Kluyveromyces lactis: one gene and its partner. The protein of the gene in region 2 purifies or fractionates together with the protein of the main gene of each other region. This does not show direct contact. Links are inferred from orthologs where the notes say so. Each region holds a gene or a part of one and is shown on either strand. Other genes may lie near its edges. The genes, in order: AIM23 and MRP13.

Region 1 (3,136 bases), on a different chromosome or scaffold from region 2:
GCTCAAAGCCTAGGACTAGTGTACGGATACAACTTACAACAATTAAATACAGGAATTCCACCATCGTTTTACATTAAAGAGGATGATATCATCTTTCCTAGCGAAGACGTCCCATGGAAATGGGGGGATATTATAGCATCCTCTGAACATGGATTCTTTGGTGCAGAAATGCACGTATGGACTCATGATCAAGTAGATTATATTGCAATATCACAGTTGCTCTTCAATAAGGTCTACATATTCAAAGATGCTGGCAACTCTGCACTAGAGGTCTGGTTAATATTGGAACTTGACACATTAGTTGACCTTAACACTGTCAAGTCCTCTATTGAGTTTGGTAAGGGTGTTCACTTCTCACACTCCCGGAAAAGGCTATTTCTTTCTTCTCCGGGCAGTTTTAATGGCGCTGGTGCTATCTGGAGTGTCTCTATGTCAGAAATGAAGAGAACAGTTGAACTTTGGAGATCCAAACATTTGCTCATAACCGCTTTAAAACACCTTGAATTCGTTAACCCCGAGCAAAAGAAAAAGGGTTGGTCTAATTTCGGCTCCAATTTGGCTGAGTCCCCATTAGATGACTTATTAGTTTCCATTCCACAATTTGGCTACGGTGACTTACATGACCTTTCGCTAATCGGAGCATTATTGATTCATTAGAATACATCACAATTACGTGAAATTTTTCGATATATGTACGCTAATTATCAATATTTACAAGATACATATGCCATTATAACGTCTATCGTCCGAGATATTTCCTGGTTATTCGGTGGAATCGCTGGTTTTTTTCTTCTCAATTCTGCGTTGCAGCTTTTCCTGCCTTTCCCGTTTCCGTTGCTCCTTGAGAGCTTTTTTATCAACTCCATTATTAGTATTTACAAGATTTGGAGTTACTTTCATAATTATTCTTTGATTGATCAAACCTTCTTGTGTAATCTGTGATGAATATTCGCTGATTATTTCGTTTAGCTTCTCCAAAACCTCTTCCCTTCTTTTCATTTCCTTTTTAGAAATAGAAGATTCCTGCATCGCTTCTAATTCCTCCTCATCTATAGGTGACAAGTTAGAAGAGTCTTTATCATTAATGAAAAGAGCAATCTTGCTACCTTTTTCCAAATTAGAAACAATTTCACTACATTTCTGTTTTTTCAAATCATAATCCGATATTTGCCATGAAACCTTGATTGATTTCCAAGATGAATCCGCTTTCGAGTCTGGAGAGCGACGGCCAGTTTTCTTTATATTGACACCCAATTTTATAAGTTCTTCTTCTTTAATTTTAGATAGTTTGTCGGAATAATTCTTTAATGCCTGTCTTGTTGGCACTTCTTTGACAATGGGTAGACGAACATCTCCGGACGCAGCATTATCGATACTCACCATAGCTATCCCATTTATCTCAAGGTTAACGCCCTTCAAAAAGTTCCTAATATTGGCTTCTTCTAGCTTGCTAGTTTCTGGATTGATTGCCTTGATGTTACCCTTTGAATTTATTGCTAGTATTTCCTCTAGCACCGAGTTGGCAGCTGCCTGCTGTTTCTCTGTTCCACTATTCCATCTGAAAACAAGTTTTTTATTCCGTTGATCTTTATTACCGTTTCTATGGCGGTGTTTATCACGATTTTTATGTGGAGAATTGTTACCGCTCTTTCGATGTGTCGCTGGATTGTATGTTGGTAGGTTAAAAAGAAGATCCGATACAGCCCTTGATTCGTTCTGGAGAACCCGATTATTGCAAAATAAACGTATTGAAGAAATGCTGTATTTAAAAGTAGTTCTGAGCATCTGTATATAGTGGTACTTCATTTATTTCAGCCCAACGTACCACATTTCAAGGCAATTCTATCATCGGAGATGACTTGAACTTAATCAAATCAAAAAAATACAACTGTCTTTCATATTAAGATTTTGAGATATTCTGACAGAGAAGGGAAAGCGTTGATATCTGTCACGTGATCATTTTTACTAATATGTTGCTGGTTTTGCCTAGAGACTGACAGCTGAATAGGTTCAAACAAAAGAGAACAATAGAATGAAAATAAAGTCGATGCGAAATATTAATGTATTAAACGATGCAGATGTGAATGTAAGGATAAACCTTTGAACTATATATGTACGACAAAATGATATATATGTCAAAATATACTAATTGTATCTGAAATTTTGAGCATTTCAAAGAATAGAAAGTGCAATAGATAAAAGTCACTTTGTAATTTTAAGGAAGTTATTTTCCTACTATGAAAGTCCTTGTATTACTATGGTACAGATGAAGGTAGTTTAGTCATATTTCATCAGTTTTCTTCCTCCGATTAAATATCTCTTTTCAAGTCCCCACAAAAAAAGAGTTTTCTTAGTTTAAGGAATTCCTTCTGATGAATTTAAAGTAAAATGAACGATTTACTTCCATGTTTAAATTATTTTGTTTGATTTTGGATTGATTCTGAAAAAAGTTCCGAACGCGAATCTGTTTAGCTCCTTTATAATTCAACACCCATAACCATGGCTAACAATGCCATTCTGACAAACAAACCATATCTCATTTGTCTGAAGTAAGCTGCACGATGATCGTAGTCAACCTCTTCACGAATCTCATTAACACGAGGTAGTGGGTGCATGACCACCATCTGTTGTTTAGCATGAGACAAGATCTTATTGTCAACAATGTAAGTGTCCTTGAGCTTCAAGTAATCTTCCTCGGTTTCGAACCTTTCTTGTTGCACTCTTGTACAGTACAACACATCGGATTTGGAAATGATTTCAGGTGTTAGTGTTTCACTTTCAATACCTAATAAGCCAGAATCTTGCAATTCTTTACGCAAGGCATTAGGCAACCTCAATTCCTTAGGAGCGATCAAGTTAATTCTAACTTGGTAATGTTGTAGCAAACGACACAAGGAGTGAACTGGTCTACCGAACTTCAAGTCACCCATAAAGGTAACAGTGATACCGTTGACAGTACCCAATTCTTCACGAATAGTGAATAGATCCAAGAAGGCTTGAGTTGGATGTTCACGAGAACCGTTACCACCGTTGATGATAGGAACAGGTGAGTACTTGGCAGCAATGTGGGCAGACATTTCGTCTGGATGTCTCAAGACAATTGCATCAGAGTAACAGGCTAATGTTCTGATGGTAT
Region 2 (3,235 bases):
GTTCCTTCAACTCTTTATTAGATAAAGGTTTTTCTCCTTCTTGTGCATTTGCCGTCTTTTCAGTATTAGTTTCTTTCCCTGAAGCCTCCTTAGCTCCTCCTGTCATTATTGGTGATTTGATACCTCAAAGTATACCGTTATTTGCCAATAGATTTCCGTTGGATCACAGGAACTGCGAGATCATCGATTGGTATTTATGTCAGCTTTTGAATAATTTCACCAAAATTGAAATTCTTAAAAAGAATGATGGAAAACTCGTTGACGGTGATTTCCTTGCAGATCGAACAAACTCAGTGCCCGAGTTGGCTAGCGGGAGTGACATGGTACCAGGCGCTAATTGACGAACATTTACTCAATTTGCGATGAATCCGTGACGGCACATCAATAATTATATAATAGAAGTATATTGTGTGAGTTTCTTTATGAATTATGGTCATTTTGTTAATGTTTTTTGAATTTCTAGTAATATTCTTAACTGACGTTGATTCTTATATATATATACATGAACGGTTCTGGGAAATATTGGTTACGGATAAGTCTATCCTTTATTTCGTTTCTTCTGCTTGTGCATCTGCATGAGCTTCTTCTGTCGTTTCAGATTCAGTAGCCTTTTGAGTTAACAGCTGTTTGTATTGGGATACGTATTTGTCGTAAATGTCAGCAACCGAGTTTTGCGCTAAAACGGCTTGATAGTTTTCAACAAACTGTTGCAGCTTAGCTTCAGTTGAGCCGAAGTCTAATGCTGTTCTGCTCAACAAATACTGGGTGGTGTTCTTTGTCAAGAAAGTCCTTAATTGATTTTGGCTTGCAGTGCTAACATCGATCGATGGCAAGTTAATTTCAATATTTCTAGCGAAATTAGGTAATTTCACCTCAACGTTCTGTTGTCTACCCAAAGCTTGAACAATTTCCTTTGTTAAACCAGTTGTATCTTCTCTTTTGGTAACAGTCGATGATAACTTCCTTAGGCCTCTCTCTACCATGCCGGAATCTTGAACGTTTTGGAACGCATTTCTATGCAATTGACACATCAATACAGTATTATACCATACATCTACGTTATAGGCTTCTAATTGCTTTGCTTTCACCAATAATGGCTGTATTTGGTACAGAACATTCAAAACTGCTCCTAAAGCACCAAACTTGAAAGTGGAAGTTAACAACATGTTTTGTAGATGCTGGGGAATCAAATAACTCCAGAACTCTTTCCTTCTAGGTGTGATATTCTTCCAATCTCTAACCATGTTTTCCAACTCTTCAGCTGACGATGCGTTCAATATGACGCTATTGAGAACTGATGCACTTGGTCTTAACACTGATGGTCTAGGTTGAATAGGAAGTTTAGTTTCTGGATCTTTCAAATCCATGGCCAACAAACGGTTAGCATTCTTTTTGCGGTAGATGTATGGTCTTAGAGTCTGTGGTGTCTTGACAAATTGTAAGAAGTTGTCAAAGACCGCACGAGACTCTACACCAGTTGAAACCGATCTTGTGAAAAACCGAGAGAACATTCGCTGCTTTGACTGTTATATGAGGATTAAAATCAGACCTTTGTTCCTACCGCTGGCTTTTTCAACCAAATCAGAGTATTAATTGTGTTACCTCTGCCAATAACCGATGAGTTATCCCAATGATTGCAGCTGATGAAGCGTGTTTTTCTACTGTGATGTGGTGATTCAATCTTCAAGCTTTCCTCTGGCTAGTTTCCGCTCTACATAGAAATGTTGAAAACATGAAATTTTTCAACACGTACAAGATGATATCAAAAACCATATTAAAAACCTGTCTATGCATAAAGACATTGGGGCACTTATGCTTAATTGCAATCATCGATAAGCTGTTCTAAGAAACACTCTTCGCTAATTCCAGCTCCGAAAAGACTAAATAACCAGACCAAACATGAACTCTGTACTGAAAATGAATACTGAGTTGGGATATCAAGAGTATCTCGAGAAAATTACTCTTGAAGCCAATGGTGTAACCAGCGATGAGACGACGTTACACAGCAAGGTGGCAGACATATTTCGAGAAGAAATTGAAGTAAACGGCTGTTTGAGGGAAAGTTTCAATGTTTATGAGGATGTGGATGGCAATATTGAAAAATGGAGAAGTCAAATATGGCTTGAGAGACCAGAAATGTCCGCAGAAGTCCGATACGCATATTTGAAGCACCAGGAATTGTGTCTCGAAAGACTGATATCCAAAACGCTGCCGAAACAGCTTATTGTACAAGAAGAAATGTTGAAGTCAGTTACAGAACAGATCAGAGGTGTGCTAGAAACTCAGAAACAACAGTTGGAACAATTATCTCAATACAGAACTAACATGGAAGAATCTCATAGACAGGAAATTGATTCATTGAATAACCGCTGGCGGTTGACGTTGAATGACAATTTAGAAAAGGCAACAATATAGATATTCTAATATTTGCAGTAAAAATAATAATTTATCTATATATTACGATATAATAATATTCTTGCTTTGATAAAACGATAGATAGGACACTTTTTCAGTTTAAATGGGTTGTTTATTTGTCCAAAACTTCAGCATCGTATCTTTGCTTGAACCAAGCGATGGTGTCTTCCTTGGAAGTCTTGTGAGAGTTACCGATTTTAGATTGACATCTCTTTCTTCTGGTGACTCTGGCACCTGGTCTACCCATGACAATGTAGAAATCCATACCGTAAATACCGATACCTGGGTCGTACTTGATACCCAAATCGATGTGTTCTTGGATACCGAAACCGAAGTTACCGGTAGCAGAGAAGTTTCTGTTTCTCAATTGGTATTCCTTGACCTTCAAACCTCTTTCCAAGATTTCTTCAGCCTTTGGACCACGAACAGTAACGTGGACAGCAATCTTTTCGTTTCTTCTGATACCGAAAGTTCTGACAGTGTATCTAGCCTTGGATTGAACTGGAGTTTGACCAGACAATTGTTCCAAAACCTTGGAAGCTCTGGTCAATCTGTCACCAGATTCACCAACAGAAATATTCAAGACCAATTTCTCGATCTTCAATTCACGCATAGGGTTTTGAGCTTTAGCAGACATCTTGGACTATGGGGTTGTGGGTTGACGTGTACAGCGGAATAAAACCTACAAATAATAAAAGAAATAGACCACTAATACGAGAATACTTTTAAATATGTAATAGATGTACCTAAACGTATAGTGAATCCAATGTTGAAAAACCTCAATGAAAAAAAATCCTACATCAAACCTGTAACTTAGTCC

Evidence for each region.
Region 1: the proteins of MRP13 (region 2) and AIM23 purify together in Saccharomyces cerevisiae (affinity purification with mass spectrometry; 3 studies listed by BioGRID). This does not show direct contact. The link is inferred for Kluyveromyces lactis from reciprocal best matches to the Saccharomyces cerevisiae genes MRP13 and AIM23.

Annotation. Positions count from the first base shown.
Region 1 is NC_006041.1:1,376,769-1,379,904, reverse strand, and holds AIM23 (Aim23p), read right to left. Parts: upstream 1,807-3,136; coding exon 763-1,806; downstream 1-762. Other genes in the region: KLLA0_E15401g (uncharacterized protein), read left to right, coding at 1-657; URA2 (bifunctional carbamoylphosphate synthetase/aspartate transcarbamylase), read right to left, coding at 2,478-3,136.
Region 2 is NC_006042.1:771,996-775,230, reverse strand, and holds MRP13 (mitochondrial 37S ribosomal protein mS44 MRP13), read right to left. Parts: upstream 1,512-3,235; coding exon 546-1,511; downstream 1-545. Other genes in the region: GCD2 (translation initiation factor eIF2B subunit delta), read right to left, coding at 1-106; KLLA0_F08283g (uncharacterized protein), read left to right, coding at 1,900-2,415; RPL11A (60S ribosomal protein uL5), read right to left, coding at 2,528-3,052. UniProt on the Saccharomyces cerevisiae protein: Component of the mitochondrial ribosome (mitoribosome), a dedicated translation machinery responsible for the synthesis of mitochondrial genome-encoded proteins, including at least some of the essential transmembrane subunits of the mitochondrial respiratory chain.